3 linked regions of the Oryzias latipes genome follow. The protein of the gene in region 2 binds, or shares a complex with, the protein of the main gene of each other region. Links are inferred from orthologs where the notes say so. Each region holds a gene or a part of one and is shown on either strand. Other genes may lie near its edges.

Region 1 (6,404 bases), on a different chromosome or scaffold from region 2:
TCCGAAATTCGCTTCTGAGTTGTGGACTATTGGCGGGGAGTAAGCCTACACTCATTTCCCATAATCCCTTTGTTTGCACTCTTTCCTGCTAGCTTCCAGCAACTCACAACCCCAACCTAACATTACTGGTGCAACCAAAAAGTTGAGCAATATTGACATTCTCCAGCCGTACAGTTTGGAGTCAGATGCCAGCTCAGATGAGAAAAATGACGAGGAGTTTTTTCATCTGCATCTGATTCACAACGATTTGAGCAAAGAAATACCAAGAAACAAAATTTTAAATCTAAATTTTCTTTAAACATGTCCTCTGTCATGAGAAAAATGCTTCAAGCTAAAATACTGTTTTCATTGGAGTGGTTCTTTAAGTAAGAAATGTAGCACAAATGTTGCTGCTTTTCTTCTGTAAAATCCTTGTAGTCTCCATTTCTCTATTATGAATGACTGAATAACTGATTTCTAAATCAGCTACATGTTTCGTACCACATTTACTGCAAATGACTAAATCACGTCATTTCGCTTGTAAAATTTTTTTCTCGTTTGCTTCTAATTTCTCAAAGATGTATTTTATTTTTTTTACCATTTTCCCTACTGTGCTTCTGCTGACTGCACATACTTCAGGTTCAAGGTGTTTGCGGGACACATTACAAACTAACATGTTCCAAATCTGAAAAAAGTACACAGTGGGTTTATATTTTTTACTTTCACAATATTTTGCAAATTATTCGTTTATTTTATCATTTAGTCTGTTATAGGAATATTTCAAACTTTGTTTCTCAATTAAATAACTTGATACTTGATTGTAAGATCACAGGTTCAGTTCCCACCTTGGGCAAGACACTGAACCCCACATCTCTCCTGGTGGTTGTGGATTGGTGCCAGTGAGTGTTACTGTACGTGCGAATGGGACTGTGACTGTAAAATGCCTTTAAGGAAGGTAGTAAAGCACTATATTAGTATGTACATATACTGTTTACCATTTTCAATGTGGTCATGGTTGAAGTTTATCTTGTAAACAGACAGCAACATCATACCAAGAGTGTGAAGAAGAGTTTTGTCTTGAAGGGACCCATCTAAAGTCTGGATCAAAATCTCCAACATAACATCTCTGAAGATCCCTAAATCCTTGATAGCTGTGTAATTGTCTTGCTAAATGTGAACAAACAACCGGGAAAAAAAACAAGTTTTTATCTGTGCCACCATTTAACCCTTGTGCTATCCTAGGCAATTTAACATTGGGAGTTGGGTCATCTAGACCCACTAGACAGTGCACTGAACCTTTTTTCTTCAATGATTTGTGATCTTCACTGGTGTCCATGGATTACATGAAATCTTTCCACCTTTATCCACCTTTGTCATGGTAGGGAGAACATGTCAAAGTAAGGGTGGGGTCATCTAAGATAACACAAGGGTTAAAAGAAGATTTGACAAGATTTACTATGGCGATTCATGAAGTAAAATGTCAAAAAGCAAAATGAGAAGTTTTACACACTCCACATGACATACAGCTTTCTTTTGATCCGTGCTATTTGTTGTAACGGCTGTCTGCAACAGCTGAGGAAACGAATGTAGTCTGAGTACAATCTATAGGTGTGCACTTTCCCCTACAAAGTGTTTACCTCTAAGTAAATCCTTTTGCTTGCTTGATCAGCAATTGGATAATTGCCTGGCAACAAAAGCTGACAACCCAGATCAACATCTAAGTGACATGATTCAAAGGCATCAGTGTAAACAGGCCTGTTAGCATCCACCCAAAACAAGTGCTTGTTTGATCTCTGCAAATGTCACTGCTCATGGCTGGACTGGAACTACGTTCAGAGTCAGGTTAGCATGCATTAAACGCCTGAAACCCTCATGGACACGTAAAGTAGATACACATGACCACACGCTGCACAGGTACAGGTGTTTACAGAGTAGCCTGTCTGCTGACGCCAGTCAATGACCCTGTTGCAATGGAAATCAAATGATGGTTCATTTGGTGATGTCTTTTATTATCCCATTATGCTTTGTCTTTCCTCATTAGAAACCTCTTCCAGCGTGAGAAAGCCCCGCATTAAGCAATGTTTATGCGTCTCACTGAAGTGGTAAAAAAGACTAGTCCACATAAATAAACACGCAAGGGTATGTATATGATACGTAAAGTCTGTTCATTCAAAAACTATGTAGAGTAAATGTTTATAGCTCTCTGTGGTCGATGAAAAAAATCCATTTGAATTGATTGAGTCGTTTCATTTTCATAATCTCTTCTTGCTGGGATGTTTTGACAAGCATATGTGCCAGCTATACACGTGTTCGGGATTCAAATCTTTCACATAAAACAAATAAGGAAAAGAGAAAAAACATAGTGAGGAGGATTATGGAAAAAAAACATGCACCACTGCAAGGAATCAATAAAATATTTTTACAAATATCTATCCAGTGTTCCATTATAGTTGATTTTTTCCAATGAGTAATCATCAAATTAAATTCATGTTAATCTAATTCAGGACAAATAAACAAGTCATTTTTTATTGTGTACATTTTTAATCTGTTAACGTTTCATGATTTCTATTTTTGTTTGAAAGTCCAATGTCCTATAATGATTGGTATTCCTGGACCTCTCTGAGGCCTTTTGATGAAAATTAGTTTTTATTTACTATTACTACTACTTCCAATACTACTAAAAAAGAATAATAATAGTACAAAAAATAATAACACTTATTATTATTATTGTTGTTGTTGTTTCTCCTTAACCATCTTTCTGGTAACTGGCTGACTCAAGTGAGTCTACATTCTGTTTGACCTAACACACCTGGTTTAGGTAATCAGAATCAACTACATGTCCCATAATGCACGGCGAAAAGCGCCACAGGAAACAAACGCTTTGTTGGTGCATTGTGGGTAAGCGGAAAAAAGGCTCAAACGCCAAGCTCAACGACTAGCCCACGTTGCTGAGCCGCTAAAAAGAACAACAATTCAAGAATTCAAAGGGAGTTGAAGTAAGACTTTAAACCCTAGCTACTAAAGCTAGCAAGTATTATATTGTGGTTGGTATTTAGCTGTGAATGTGATTCAGAATTATCGCTTTTTGTCTACATTGCCTCCCATTTGCTAAGTTTCGAATATGTCCATCGCTCCATCCATGCCTGATATTTAGCTTGTGTCTAAAATAATTTGCACGTTTGAGTCCCAACAATGTTGGGTGTGAAGCATTAACGTTAAATATATTGTGGTGGTTTACTTCCCACAGTTTTTAATTAATGTTTTGTTTCGCTTGAGGCCAGTAGTTGGTGGCTAGTTAGCTAACGTGGCTAGCTAAGCTAGCCATTAGCGTTACTACGTTTTAAAAGTAATCCCGAACATTTACCTGATTAAACTGTGTAATCCAAAACTGAAGAGTTTTCTGCAGCACTTGATTTCTCTACGTAGAAATAATACCGTCTTGATAAACAGTACAAGAAATAAATCACTAACGAGGTAGCTTAGCTAATGATAATGGAAACATTGTTATACTTAAGTGCCTTTTTTGTACGTTTTTTTTTGTGGGTGTAAATTACCTTATTTACAGCACAAAACAAGTCTTAAGTATGTTCTAACAGTAAATATTACTTCCAAGCCAGACACATGCAAACATAATAATCATAAAATTGGATGAATGAATTGCATGTTGTAGACTTTCAGTAGCCTTCTGTAAACAAAGACAATACCGTACGTCAGGTTTTGTGATAATACTGTATGTTTCAGTGCCCTTTACCGTATGTTTTGTCTTTTTTTTTAATTTAATAGCCTAGAAAGACCGTTTCCAAAATGTCCATTGGCGTACCAATCAAGGTCCTGCATGAAGCAGAGGGACACATTGTGACCTGTGAAACCAACACTGGAGAGGTTTACAGGGGCAAACTGATCGAGGCTGAAGACAACATGAACTGCCAGGTTTGTATGGAGTAACGTCCCCCCCCCAAAAAAAAAAAGCATGCCGTAAATTTCTATTTAGAGTTCAACTCACTGTACCACACTTGAGAAGAACATTTTAAATGTGTAAAGAACACAAGAATGTTTTTTTAATGGACATTTTATTGTTGGCTGCCCCCCCCCCCTTTTATTTCACATACTTTTTGGAAACAAAAATGCCAAAGGTATTTTAATGCAGTTTATTGCACCAACTCTTATTTAGACTTGCACATTTGTTTTTTTTGCTTTCACAGGAATAAGTCTAGAATCTACCAATTATAACAAGCAGGTGATGTAGAACTATTTGAGTAGGTTTGTTGAGAATGTAGTATTTTAGTAAAACAATTGCGGTGAGACAAACTCATGTTATACTTTCTTTCTTTCTTTTTTTTTTTTAAAAAACAGTTGTTCAACATGTTTGTAGCGAAAGACAAATCGGTTACTCCTCTTCGAAGAAAAATCTCTCCCGGTTTCTTTGTCCCTCAAAATCTCAGCCAACCACACGTGTGTAACGTATGATTGATTGATGTAGTGACTTAATTACTCAATGAGATCAATGGTGCTTTTACAGTCAACAAAACATACTCCCTTTTACTAATATGCATCAGGTCAGTGACCTGTAGGGAAAAACAAAAACCATAAATGATTTATCATTACCGTTGGAAGTAAATAGAAACACAGCACTAAGAAACCAAACGGCCCTGTGTGGAAAAAGGAAATTATGTTGGATTATTTTAAAGTTTTGGGACAGGTTGCCTTTATGACCTTTGTTTTTTTGTTGTTTTTTTTGGGTCTCTAGTTTTGGTTGCACATCTGTAACAAACAAATCTGGAATAACAATTTTATTTTATTTTGTAAATTTAAGTTGTGTTCTTTCTATTAACTGACCCAATTCACCCCCCCCCCCTAAAAAAATCTGTATAGTTATCTGGTCATATATGCACATTTGTCCTTGAAATATTTAAAGCCATTTTTCTTAAAGTATTGAGTACTGTAACTAAATATATTTCCCAAACATCCTGTCAATGCTGATAGTCTTTTCAAGCTTCATTAGTGCAGTAAAAGTTTAATAGACTCCAAATCTGTTTATTTCATTTAAAAGCAGAAATTTTGGTGGATAAAGCTCAGTGTGTCTTAAAAGTACTCTAAAGATAAGTGTGAAGGCTTTAACAAAACGCTAAATATTCTAAAACGTATATTCTGTTAATAATTGTAGATTTCTTATTAATCAAATGACAAATCAAAAAGGTTGTTAGAAATTATTTTAAGGGATTAAATGAAGTATCTACAAATGTGTTTTCAAATAGAGAACTGCATTGCCAAGTTTAACAGATAACTTAAAATGTTAACCTGCATTCCATTGAACACTGTAAACGTGTATCAAGCCATTTTACGAATCTAAGACCGGAACCATTTATTTCTATGTCCCAACAGATGTCCAACATCACAGTAACCTATCGTGACGGGCGGGTTGCCCAGCTGGAACAAGTGTACATTCGTGGCAGCAAGATCCGCTTTCTGATCTTACCAGACATGTTAAAGAACGCTCCAATGTTAAAGAGTATGAAGAACAAGAACCAGGGTTCTGGAGCAGGAAGAGGCAAAGCGGCCATTCTGAAAGCACAAGGTGAGTGGTTCCTAACCAATGCTGATAAATGGTGTGTCCACTTTTCCTTATTCTTGGTACACCCTGCTTCCTGAATGCTGTTTTTTTTTTTTTTTTACTGAATTATTTCTGAATTTGTTGTCTCCCTTTGCAGTGGCTGCAAGAGGCAGAGGTCGTGGTGGAATGGGAAGAGGCAACATTTTCCAGAAGAGACGATAGCTTTTCCTTTTCAATGTTTTTATTTTTTCTCATGTCGTTTACTTGAATGACTTGTCTGTTATTTGCAATCTTGTCTTTGCAAGTTAGTTCTTGAATTTTTCTTTTTTTTTTAAACAAAAATAAAAGATGTTTCAAAATGTCTTAAATTAATATCCCTTTTGTCTTGTTTTTATTATTCCTGTACTTGTTTGACATGCTGACTATCTAATTTCTTTTTTATTTAAAAGCAGTACATTTTTCCGTTCAAGGTGCAAGTTAGATTTCTTGAGCAGAATTAGTTTTTAAACTTTTAAAAGTAAAGTAAATTTGGTAGTTTGAAAAAAAAAAACTAGCTTGCTGTTTGCATTTTAGAAATAACTGCAAAAGCTCAAATATATGAATAACGGAGGTAAAAATATTTGGCTTTGCAAATGTCAAATAACTTTTTTTAACTTTTGCATTAAAACGATTTTAAAAAGATTAGAAAGATGCTCTTTATAGCAGTTTTTTCCCTGTGTAAGGTTCAGAACCCTAAAAAAATCTTTGCCTTTAAAAATGTATCCCTAAACAATAACTAAAATAAAAAGCTTCATAAACTTGACCCCCAACCCCCCTTCATAATATCACAAATATAGCCCCAAAATATTTTTAATTCAATCAGTATCCATACGTT
Region 2 (6,233 bases):
TCACTTGCTGTGTCACAACAACAGTTTGTTCTTTATGTTGTTTTCTTCTGTTTTCAGTTGAATGGCCCTTTCTCCATCATGATCAAGTCCCTGTTTGTTTATGGAATGGTGGGAGGTAAGAACACAAAGCTGAAGGTGTCTGAAATAAAATCACACATAAAATCAAGCTTGTTTCTGTATAAATGTTCTTTGTTCTTGTCTCTAGCGCTGCTGTTGCTGCCAGTCCAACCAGATCAGATCTCTGTATGTGTTGAAGATGATGAAGACCTGAGAGTAGACTGTATGATCAAGCCAGCTCCTAACAAAATCAACAGCTATGAGTTTTCATGGTCCTCGGGAACCAAGGAGGTTTTAATCAACACCAATGTGTCTGGGTCTAAAGCCGAGGCTCAGTTTAATGATAAAAGCCAAGTGGTGGAACTGGAGCCTCACGGCTACAGGATGACCCTGTCTGACTTCAAAGACAAGCTCCCACCCAACACCACCTACATGTGCAAAATATATGGGGAAATGAAACAAATCACAGTGGAGAAAGGTGGGTGGACTGAAGAGCTGAAGGGAATGAGTGTTAACCAAAAGCTGGCAGAATTTTTCGATAGATTTTTGGTGTGCTTCAATAATTTCCCTCTTTACAGATTCCCTGGTGCCATGCTCAGCAGTGAGCGTGTTTCTGCAGAGATCCTGGTTCTTGATTGGCTGCCTGGTCTTTTTCCTTCATCACAATGACAGCTGATGGCACTGAGAAGAGAACAGTCAGGCTTTTGCAGATACTCACTAAGCTAAGCACTTTCGCTTCTGTCACAGAATAGATCTCTCTTCCTTCTGTAAAAAACACTGGTAAATGTTTCCACTGTAGACGATTTAAATGTTTAGGAGCTGAGAGCTGTGAGTACTGAATGTAAATTAACCATTAGTAGAAATGAAAGTGCAGCTTTTTCGTCGAGGGAGACAGTCTAATGGCAGACTAAGAGATGCAGTTGCTGACTTATTAATGAGGTATTATTGATTTTATGTTTTCTTTTCTTTTACATTAAAAAGCACTAATAGTTTTTGTGGCCTTTTCCTCACTGCAAAAGCAGCAAATTGATTGTGTTCTTGTTTGCTTGTTAATAAAAGAAGAGCTCTGTGAATTTGCTTGTAATCATTTCATTTATGATTGAACAAATATAATTGTTTTGTGTGTTTGTTTGTTTTTGTTGTTTTTTTTAAATCATAAATCAAAGAACACTGTTGACAGATAAATACCAGTATTTGGAAATGTCACATTTTCTCAATGGAGCCTAAATGCATTGTCATTCATGGAAATCATACTAGACCAGCAGCTGGTTATTACTGTCTTAGATAAACAATAACCCATGACATTTAATCTGTCTCTACATATTGGACATGACATGTAACAGGGACAATATTTAGGTCTTTTTGTCTCTGTTATAAAAAGCAAGTAGTGACGGCCTATATTTTTGAAAAAGTTTTAGTGTAAAAAAAATGATCGACAAATAAAAAAATAAGAACAAGAATTGAAATCGTATGCAAAGAAGAGTAAAGACTTTTACAATTCAAAAACATTGCTCTCCTGTCTTTCTAGGCATCGGTGTATGACCGACTAAATTTGTGGGTCAATTAGGGAAATCAGGCAATTTTAGCCTTTTTGGTGACAGTCATTATTTGTATGCCAGTCACTGGGTCCCACCACAGACACAGTCTTGCAGCAGATTGTGGCCCAGTAGTTATCATTTTTAACTTCTTTGGAGTCAACTTTATCTTCAATGTATTTATTTATGCATAACAGTAACTTTTTTGTTATAATAATAATAATAATAATAATAATAATAATAATAATAATAATAATAATAATAATAACAATAATAACAATAATAATAATAATAATAATAATAATAATAATAATAATAATAATAATAATAATAATAATAATAATACAGAAACGCGTCTTCTTCCTCGTCGTCTACATTGACCCTTGACGCGACCCGTAGTTTCCCACAATACAAAGATGGCAGCGGTCGGTGGTGGAACCGGACCCGAGCTTTCTAAAGCTGAGTACTTAAAGCGGTATTTATCAGCTGACGACAACCATGGTGCATCTAAAGGAAAAGGCAAGAAGAAACGAAAAAAGCTTCCTGAAACAAGGTGAGTACCGAAATACTGCGCCGTTTGGCTTTCTGTTAGCATCCAAGCTAGTTTCCTTATGCTAAGCTATTTTTGATTTGGAACTTTGTTTCTATGAGTTTAATCGTTTTTATTTTGTGTTACTTCGTTGTTTTTATCTAGACTTAAAATAGTAGACGATGATATTGATTGGAGACAAATGGTCCAACAGCAGCCGGATGTCGAAGAGGATGAAGAGGAAGCTCCGGTGGTGAGTTAGCTAGCAGCCTTGCGTTAGCATTTCCCCCGCAGTACGGTCTACTATGTTTAACTTTTACACGCATGAAAGTCTGATGGCGATATTTGATTTGATGATAATAAAATGTATGTCTTTCTTTTTTGTTAACATTATTGAAATGTAAATCCAGACGTAACACAGGAATTTCATCTGACGTGAGATTGAATTGATCTGCTTTAATGCAGGATAATCGATGCAAGATAGATTTGACACATTGGTTTGAATGAAATATGTGGGAAACTTGCATTGTGTGTGAAGCAGTCAACACAGATGTTTGAACAGAGTAAATAATGATTTGATTTGGTCTATGTTATGTACATTAAAGTTTTAAAGCCAAGGAAACCTAAATTTTGTACTTTGATTTACCTTCTCAGATTGCAGAGTTCATCGATGAGCGGCCAGAAGAGGTGAAACAGATGGAGGCCTTTAGGACCAGTAACAGATGGAAAATAGTTGGGGGTAACTATAAAAGCAGTATATAAATTTGGCTTCTTTTAAATTATGTTGTTTTTCATATTAACTGTGTTGTTCTGTAGCGGATGAAGACGAAGACAAAACAATTGACGAAGAAAATGAGCAGGAGGAGCCTTTAACATCTAAAAAAAGTCGGCATGACTCACCAGAGCTGTCATCGAAAAGTGGGAGACATGGTTCCCCTTTCAAAAAACCAAGACACGACTCTCCAGACATTTCTCCTCCTAGGAGAGGACGCCATGACTCTCCGGATAAATCCCCTCCCAGGAGAGGACGCCATGACTCTCCGGATAAATCCCCTCCCAGGAGAGGACGCCATGACTCTCCGGATAAATCTCCTCCTAGGAGAGGACGCCATGACTCTCCGGATAAATCTCCTCCTAGCAGAGGACGCCATGACTCTCCCAGCAAGTCTCCTTCAAGGCAACATTTAAGGAAGTCTGGGAAAGTTAAAAGTAAAGGTGAGTTTTATTTTACAGTTAAGATTTTCTTTCTTGCTTTTATACAGAACAATGCTCATTTTGCACAAGTCACTGAAAAAGCTGAAAACGGCATACCAATGCCATTTAAGCATTGAATAAGCTTAAAGCTGGAACCTCTTAGATTTTTGGGTTATAGTAGTTACTAAAAATATCAATAGTTATATTGACACAATAAAATGTTTATGTAAAACACATTTATTTTTTTCTATTTCATATTAGGATTACTAGTTTTGCTCTCTGCACTCTAATATATATAGTGCAAACATTCTCTTTGATTCTCAGAGTCTTCTCCCACTAGAAGGAAGCCCAGCTCATCGTTACACGGTAAACCAAGGTCGCCAGATGATCGGCGGTCTCCTTTAGCTCATAAGACTAAGGTTAGGCTGGATTCAGACTCCGATCAATCTCCTCCACGGAAAAAGCAATCGAAGCGAGAAGCTTCCGACTCTGACCAGTCTCCCCCTCGGAGACGCTCCAGAACAAGGCAGAGATCCGATTCCGACCAGTCTCCACCAAGAAAGCACTCGAGGAGTGGAAAGGACTCGGATGGAGATCTGTCACCACCACGGAGACCTGGCCAGTCTCATGTGAGGGATCTGCGCTGTTCAGGGATTCGTGTGAAACCTAATTTGCAGCACAAACCCCATCTAATATTTTTGTGTGTTTTTCAGGACCACAGGATGCTTTCCGGAGGAAAGGCTGGTTTGGTATCTGTGGAGATTCTAAGGGAAGAGCAAAAGGAAAACCGACGCAGAGAAAAAAAGAATCAACCTCTTGAAGGTTGGCCTTGCTTTTGTTTTTCAGTTTTACTTTTAAAAAAAAAGAGAGTTTGAAACAACCCTTTTCTTATCGTATAACTTTAGACTTTCTATATTTCTGAAGTACCGGTATATGAAAGTGTTTTTATACTATTTATACTATTTACGCATCAGATGAATCTCGTAATGCGGAGACGGTCTTCCGAGACAAAAGTGGCAAAAGGAGGGATTTGACCTCAGAAAGGGAGGAGCAGAAGAGAAAAGCAGGAGAAAAGGCTGCAAAAGATGAAAAATATGCCCAGTGGGGTAAAGGGTAAATCCACAAAACCATACCAAGTCACTGAAAATGCTACTTCCACCACATGTAAGAAGACAAGTTATTGTTTGTGTTTAGGCTGGCTCAGAATCAGATGGAGCAGCAGAAGCTGGAGGACGCCCTGCTGGAAGCCCAGAAGCCCTTGGCCCGTCACCGTGACGACGAAGATCTGGACCGCATGTTGAGGGAGCAGGAGAGGGACGGGGATCCCATGGCTGCCATGCTTCGGCGGAAAAAGGAAAAAAGCTCAAAAACACAAGGTTTGAAACATTCTACAAGTTTTTGTACTTTTTTTTTTTTTTTTACTCTTCTGATGGAAAAATTTGGGCATTAGTACTTCAAGTACAGCAAATATCTCAGTTGCAGTTTTACATGATTCATTTAAAATTTTCTTACTGTTTCCAGACAAACCTCGCTACAATGGACCTACGCCACCCCCAAACCGTTTCAACATTCCTCCCGGTTACCGTTGGGATGGAGTGGACAGGTACAGTTGAAGAAAAACCTCATGGGATGCTGCTTGTCAACTTTTCAGCTCTTCTGCAATGTTTTAGTTTTGCAGTTGTGATGATCACAGTTTTAGGTATTTTCACTATGTAGCAGTGGTCCCCAGTTCCCGAGACGCGGACTGTATCCATTCATGGGGTCACTTAGTACCAGGCTGCAGACAAAAAAATTACATATAGTAACTTAGATTATTTCCTTTTTTTATTTTTTATTCTGAAAGTAGTTTTATTTTGGAAAACTACTTGATTCAATTTGCCACATGTGTCTATACTCTTGTTCACTCGCGCATCGAAAATACATCCACTACCTTCTTAAAGCGGCTTCTCCGACCTCTTAATAAAAAGGTAACTAAGTTAATAAGAAAAAACATCTTTGGAAAGTTTTTTTGTGGGAGAGAAAGAAGCCATTGAGAAAATGAAGGAAGAGTTTTTGACTTCAAAGTAAAATCAATTATTTACAGATAAAACCAGGAGTCTTCCTCCAAATATGGATTCATTGCGATAGTTGTTCCCACCTACAAAGCCCACTTTGCATAATATGCGTTGACTGACTCTAAAGTTACACATACGCTGTTAAAAAAGTTGCAAACACAATGGATTCACATTTTGCATTTTGCGTGTAGAAAATGCCAGTTTCATGACAGTTGTGTCATTTCATTTAGTGTTTTTTGTTTGGCACACCTTGAAGATGCGGCTGACGTTGGCACTCAGATGTTAGCCTCCATTTTGGAGTTTAAGTGAAAATTTACATCACATTTTAATGGATCCTGAACAAAGTCTAAGTTTAAACCAGCTGCAAATATTTTACAGAGAATAAGGATTCAATACAATAACATTTGAGAATGTTTCTACAGCAGGTTTTACAAATTAGGTAGCCACCTGGTAAGAACAGAAAATACTCTTCTGTGTTTATGATTAATTTTTTTTGCCCTGAAAGATAATCTGAGCCTGAATTATTATTTTTTCTGCGTTATAACGAAATTAAAATCTGTAATGTTGCCTTTAATGAATTTTTACAAATCAGAAACAACTTCAACAAATCAACAACTTTGTCATTGAACTTTCTTAATTTGTAAAACATTTATTTACTGGCAGTTTCAAAGTCTTTAAAAAAAAATCATGATTTAGCATTTGAATTTAAAAAATACATTTTTTAGAAACCAGACGCTAAAAAAATTCAACCTCTTCGGACTCTGGTCCATATAAACATTTTCTGACATAAAAAAATTCTTTATTCTCTTTGATCGTATCAGCTTGGAAGTCATGTCAGCCCAAAGTTCAAGTAACTTTGAAAGA
Region 3 (6,216 bases), about 10 Mb from region 2:
CCTGGAAACACAGAGCGTCAGAGTCCTGACAGCAGAAGCCAGCGCGCTCTGCTGGAGGGTCCAGGAAGCTGACCACCAAACCTGTTCAGGAATTCAACGATGGTGAAGGGCGAGGAGTCGGCTGAAGTGGTGGCGACCCAGTAGAGGCCCCCCTGCCTGATGTGCAGGAAGTGGAGGTCTCTGAGCGTCTGCAGGAGAAAAGCGCAGACTTATAAAAGCAGCCAGACATTATTTCTGCAGATCTGGGATTATTTTACTTGGTGATATAATCCCAACTCCTTCATCCAATAACCAAATTTATTAAATAACAAAAGTAGATTTCCCCCTGAAAATACAATCCTTCCCAGCATGCATCCACGCCATCTGAATGCTTTGTAGTTTTACGTCTGGGATCTCAGGGTAGTGTTGTGTATCCAAGGCAACAAGAGTCTCTTCCTCCCTGAGTTCAAACAGCAGCATTGTGTCGTTTATTTTAAAGACACATTCACACTACAATTGTTAGCGCTGCCATGTTCACGGAGTTTCAGAGTTTGTTAGCGTACACACGGCCCTTAAGGGCATCTAAACGTGCTCCATAAGAGCTGCAACAAATAGAAAAGTTCCGCTGGAGGACAGGTTACCATGACAACCGGAGGCTGGTCTCCAGGTAGCGCCGTGACCTTCTGGTAGAAAACGTTGACCACATCATCGTCCCCCGTCTCTCCGCGGACTGGAGCCAGGGTCAAGGTAGACTCAGACTCATGCCTGACGGATGCACTGAGGCGCATGTCCTCCAGAGCAGGGATGCTCCGCCTCTTTTCAGCCGTGGATCCCATTACTGGCTTTGTTTGCCCAAAGCAGCGAGAACAGAGAAGCTGTGGGTCGCTCAGGATGGGAGAAACGTCCAGTTTGAAGGATGTTCCCAGCAAAGACCCCCCCACCCCCAACCCAATTATCTGGTTATGATAAAAACCACCGTTATTATTGAAAACCTTTGGTGGACCGTGCATAACACACCTGGGCCTTCAGCAGTGCTACGTCTGAATCACTCAACCCCTCATGAACCAGCTCAAACTGTCAGCTTGACAGACACAGTGGACACGGGGAGGGTCACGATTCACTCAGATTTTTCTGATGGAGATCAGTGGGAGATTTTCCTGCTAAATCCTCCATGGAGTACATTACAGTCAGTCTGCTATAAACTGAGAGGGAACAGATCATTCTCCATGTCTCTGTGTCAAACTGGACAAGGAAGCATGTGACTTCCTGAAACTTCTGTCCAATCAGAGGGTCTGAATACTGTGACGCTGTCTAAGCCTGCTAGAAGGCCCTGCTGACACCAACTCAAAATCTGATTGGATGAGGGAAATTAATCTCCGACATTGATTTTGCATTAGAGGGCCTGCAGAACAGATAGTGAAGGCCTCTGTAGCTCTGACCCTGCCTGGCAACAAAGGAGAGCTGGAATGTGATTGGTTAAATGTTCCAATGTGAAAATACGTCTGGAAGCAGCATCACCATCATAAACACACTAAAAGAGGAATGGACAGACCATTTGGAATGATTTAATGAGAATGCATGGACGAACTCTAATTAACACATGATTCAGATAATTTTTAGGCCTTCAGAGAAGCCCATCACCATTGAAAATAACAACTTTAAAACACCTGTGTCTGACTGATGCAAAAAATGTACCCCAGATGGGCAAGTACAAGTACCCCTGCTAGAGTAAGTCTGTCCCAAAGGGGAGATCTTTCACTGTATAGCAGAACTGAACTTCAAAGCAGGATGATTTAAACAGAAGCAGGTGAGAGCTGAGAAGGATACAGTCTCTGAAGAGGAGGGGGTCGCCCTTCGAGGACAAGATGAAGAGCTGCCGGATCATCCTGCAGAGGATAGAGGACTGTCGGGGCAACAGTTCACCCCGGTGGGACAGCTAGGGGGAGTTTCAGTGCCACTGCAACATCTGCAGAAACAACATCTGCAGGAACACGTCCAAGTCTGTCTGCAGAACTGCAGTCAAGCCGAAATAAAGGAGAAAACCCCTGTTTATGGGGGAAATGACAAACAAGCAGCATCTCATATTCACTGCATGAAACTAGTTATTATGAGGAAAAAAATAAACTAACAATAAACAATCAGATTGTCTGGTGTGTGCTACTGTAGGTGTGCGTCACACATTAATCTCAAACGTGTTAAAGGTGACACTGAGTAAAGCGGAATAGGGTAAAGACAAGTCGAAGGAAAACTGAATTTACCTGAAAAGATGACACAGTTCAGACGTTTAAACTGAACTTTAAGTGTTTTAAAGCCATGCTAACGTGGAATTACAAATCATTTTCCAGTTCCACGTAAAATCTCCTGCAATGATGTCGACTCTAAGAAAGGGTGTTATTTAAACATTAAAAGCTTGAAAAACACAACACGCTTTAAAACGTCCACTGTCTGGTTTAAGTGTTGCATCCTGTTAAAAATGAACTGTTAGCTTGTTAGCGCCACCTGTCGTGCAGGCGGAAAGATTGGACGCTTGCTTTTTACAGACAGAACATTCAGCATTTCACAATTTCTTACAAAAATAAAATAAATACATTTCTTGTTTATTAAAAGCAGCATTCGGGCAGTGTTAGACGCTTCGCGTTCGCGCAGTTTTCTCGTTCATTTCATCTGTAGTTCGGTCATCCAACCACCAGGCGGCAGCACACGCAGAACCTCCACAGGAAGTGCACCACTTCTCCACGCTTGGTCTTTGGCACCATAACATCGCTGCTGTTCGAGCTCACCATGAAGTAAGTAAACGTTTCCCTCTACAGCCATTACATTAGTTTTTATTTTTCATTTGGTAGAGAATCCCTTTTCTGGTCGTTGGTTTCCTGTTGAGCGGATTCCAGCCGATAGCAGCAGGCTTTATGTTTCGTGTGTGTCGCCTTTTCCCCATTTCCATTCAAATTCTCCACTGTAGAACTTCAAAAACTTCTAAAAACTTCTAAAAAATCAAATTTGATTTTTTTAAACTTAATAGACCAGGTACTGAATAGCCACCTACTGAATTCGTACTTGCGTTTGATTGTATTTGCATTTTAGAGGTGTAACGATTGCATACCAATCAGTGGTTGTTGATGTGATTCAATCATTCGATAATTGTTCGTTTTATCCGATTCAGTGACCTAATGGATCCAGGACATCTTTATCCAAAACATCATCCAGTGTGACTCAGCGAGAAATACCTGCTACTGAAATGTGAAGTTTTCCAGATTCCTTAGATTTCTTCCAAGATAATCAAGTTTAAATTAAATATGTACAAACAAAGAATTAAAATCAAATCCATCCACATTTTAGTTTCCTGAAGTTCAGCCCACTGTTGTTTTTCCACATCCAAAGAATCCAAAGGGAACATTCTAGCACACTGTGTGGTCACATGACTTTCTAAATTCAGTTTTGGACTGGAATGATGGTTGATCAGTTTTTGATGAAATTACATGTTTTTTGTCTGCTGTAATGCACTCTGTTAATTTTGATTGTGTCTGAATTCCTTCAATACTCACTACCTAGGGGGCACTATGTAGTGCACTATATATTGCCCTATATAGTGCACAACATTCACCATGTTGTAGTGCTGTCCGAACCTACAATTTCAAAGTCGAGTGCCCTAGAAATTTCCCAGAAGTCTCTGCGAAAAAGCAGTGTGCATCGAGTGAATATAAACCACAATGCATTGCGTCGAACAGTTTTTGCAATTTTCTTTTTTTATGTTAGGGTGGGAACTTGGGGCACAGCCTTTATGTTATAGTAAAATGACCTCACCAGGTCTCAATCCAAACGGTGGTTTCCAATATCGATTCAATAGGCAGAGCTGAAGGTAGCAGAGATGAAGATGTTGAGGTTCTCTTTGGGAGAGACCAGGATGCATCAGGAATGAGTCCATCAGAGGAGCAGATCATGGTTGATATTTGGGACATGAATGCAGATGGAGATGGTTTGGAGGAGCAGCAGTGATGATGCTGAGGTTACAGAAACCAGGAAAGAGGCCTAGCGGAAGACCACAGAGGAAGTTCATGGATGAAGAGGAGGGCATGAGGGTTGTTGGTGGGGACGATAGAGGAGAGAGCTGGATGATTAATGTAGCAACTAAGAGACAAAGAAGATATGGTTGAAATCTTCATAATGTTCATTATGTTGAGATGGTGCATAAAAAAATAAATTGATGAAACATGAATATTAGAAAGCTGACCTTCAGGTTTATTTCACTTTGTTTAAATGAACAGAATCTTGACTGCTGTCTTCTAAAACACTGAAAGTTTCCTGCCGGTTGATTTGTTTCAGTCCTCTGACGAAGGTGAAGCTGATAAACGAGCTGAACGAGCGCGAGGCCGACCTCGGGGTCAACGAGAAGGTGTCGTGGCACAGCGAGTACCGGGACAGCGCCTGGATCTTTGTGGGTGAGGGGGCGGAGCTTCTCACAGGAACCTGCAGTAAATGAAGCGTGAAAGCAGGTGGTTGACGTCTGTTCTGATCCTGCAGGAGGCTTCCCCTACGAGCTCACAGAGGGGGACCTGCTCTGCGTCTTCTCTCAGTACGTACCCACAGCCTCGCTTTGGGGTGGGGTGGGGGCACACACCGCTTACTGATGTGTCCGTTCAGGTACGGTGAGATCGTCAACGTCAACCTGGTGCGCGACAAGAAGACGGGAAAGTCCAAAGGCTTCTGCTTCATCTGCTACGAGGACCAGCGCAGCACCATCCTGGCTGTGGACAACTTCAATGGCATCAAGGTGAGGCCCCCACCCCCCACCCGGGGCGGCGCCACTGTGAGCATCCTTAATGATGAAGCTCTTTCTCCCCTCCAGATCAAAGGACGCACCATTCGCGTAGACCACGTAAAAAACTACCGCCCCCCCAAAGACGGCGAGGACATCGATGATGTCACCAAACGCTTGAGGGAGGATGGCTGCGCCCCCACGGGCCCTGCCGCCCCCCCGTCCTCCTCTGAGGATGACGAGCAGCTCGTCATACCTGTGAAAAAACCCAAAAAAGGTGAGGTCACTTCCTGTTCTGTCATTTATGAGGGGGAGGGTCAGTTTCACCTGTACTCTTCTGCTGCAGACAAAAAAGAGAAGAAGAAAAAGAAGAAGGAGAAGAAGAAGAGCCGAGCTTCCTCCTCCTCACCTCCCATCCGAGTCAAAGAAGAAAAACGAGACACGGCGTACGACAAGTACGCCACGGGGGGGTCACAGAACGGACACAATGAGACGGAGAGGAGGAGGGAGGAGAAGAGGAGAGACAGAGATGTGGAGAGTAAGAGAGAGACTGAACGAGAGAGGGAGGACAGAAGGAGAGGAGAGAAGAGGAGAGAGGCGGACAAGGAGAGCTCCAGAAGATAGATGGAGGAGTAAAGAGAGGAGAATGATACATTCTCTCCTCAGCAGAAGAGCTCCCCCTGCTGGCTGACATCCTCCTGTAAACAAAGCTTCCATGAGAAGCCTTTTTTTGTACAGATATTTGTAAAGTTTGTCTTAAGTGTTAAAAAACAAGTTTGTCTTCTGGGCGATGATTTAAATAATTGATTTATTAAAAAAAATTCAAACAGCAAATTTGATTCTCTTTTGAAAACGTTTCAGAATTCACTAAAGCTTAAGGAGCATTTAAATAAAGACATTTGGAGAACAGAATTATTTATGTGTATCAAGCCTGAAGGGATCCAGAAAACTTCAGACATTGACTGTTTACAAGAACTGGACTGAGTGACCCCTCCCCCTGGCATTTTACCATTGGTCAGAATGACTATTTGATGCTTTGAACACATTTTGGCTTATCATTTTTTTTTTACTAAATAGTTTTCTCTATTGCAAGTTATAAACTGACCAAATAGATGCATCTGTGAGAGTAGGAGTGCGGCCTGCCAACAAGCTCACTACTGATTGGCTAGGGTGTTCGCCATAGAAATGTTGAATCAGACCAACTCTTACTGACGTCTGACTCCAACATAGTTGGGTCCAGACCGTGAAAAACTGAACCGGCTTCATTTGGTTGGAGCCGGATGTAAGCAGTTTTCTGTGGGTGACATCACACTCACTCGCTCATACCCCTTGTGCTATCTTAGATGACCCCACCCTTACATTGACGTGTTCTCCCTACCATGACAAAGGTGGATAAAGGTGGAAAGATTTCATGTAATCCATGGACACCAGTGAAGATCACAAATCATTGAAGAAAAAAGGTTCAGAGCACCGTCTAGTGGGTC

The links.
Region 1: bud13 (region 2) and snrpd3 share a complex: the UniProt entries of both Homo sapiens proteins name them as parts of the minor spliceosome. The link is inferred for Oryzias latipes from reciprocal best matches to the Homo sapiens genes BUD13 and SNRPD3.
Region 3: bud13 (region 2) and rbmx2 share a complex: the UniProt entries of both Homo sapiens proteins name them as parts of the activated spliceosome. The link is inferred for Oryzias latipes from reciprocal best matches to the Homo sapiens genes BUD13 and RBMX2.

The regions. Positions count from the first base shown.
Region 1 is NC_019870.2:16,128,150-16,134,553, reverse strand, and holds snrpd3 (small nuclear ribonucleoprotein Sm D3), read left to right. Parts: upstream 1-2,845; 5' UTR 2,846-2,975; intron 2,976-3,762; 5' UTR 3,763-3,783; coding exon 3,784-3,909; intron 3,910-5,361; coding exon 5,362-5,554; intron 5,555-5,687; coding exon 5,688-5,752; 3' UTR 5,753-5,899; downstream 5,900-6,404. UniProt on the Homo sapiens protein: Plays a role in pre-mRNA splicing as a core component of the spliceosomal U1, U2, U4 and U5 small nuclear ribonucleoproteins (snRNPs), the building blocks of the spliceosome.
Region 2 is NC_019872.2:13,068,585-13,074,817, reverse strand, and holds the start of bud13 (BUD13 homolog), read left to right. Parts: upstream 1-1,979; 5' UTR 1,980-2,008; coding exon 2,009-2,145; intron 2,146-2,286; coding exon 2,287-2,374; intron 2,375-2,775; coding exon 2,776-2,860; intron 2,861-2,937; coding exon 2,938-3,336; intron 3,337-3,639; coding exon 3,640-3,944; intron 3,945-4,028; coding exon 4,029-4,137; intron 4,138-4,289; coding exon 4,290-4,428; intron 4,429-4,509; coding exon 4,510-4,691; intron 4,692-4,836; coding exon 4,837-4,918; intron 4,919-6,233. Other genes in the region: uncharacterized protein LOC101171185, read left to right, coding at 79-115, 206-535, 636-733. UniProt on the Homo sapiens protein: Involved in pre-mRNA splicing as component of the activated spliceosome. As a component of the minor spliceosome, involved in the splicing of U12-type introns in pre-mRNAs.
Region 3 is NC_019872.2:23,466,794-23,473,009, forward strand, and holds rbmx2 (RNA-binding motif protein, X-linked 2), read left to right. Parts: upstream 1-2,657; 5' UTR 2,658-2,760; coding exon 2,761-2,765; intron 2,766-4,299; coding exon 4,300-4,415; intron 4,416-4,497; coding exon 4,498-4,549; intron 4,550-4,617; coding exon 4,618-4,747; intron 4,748-4,822; coding exon 4,823-5,009; intron 5,010-5,078; coding exon 5,079-5,356; 3' UTR 5,357-5,566; downstream 5,567-6,216. Other genes in the region: ap4m1 (AP-4 complex subunit mu-1), read right to left, coding at 1-1, 82-188, 621-709, 1,807-1,864. UniProt on the Homo sapiens protein: Involved in pre-mRNA splicing as component of the activated spliceosome. As a component of the minor spliceosome, involved in the splicing of U12-type introns in pre-mRNAs.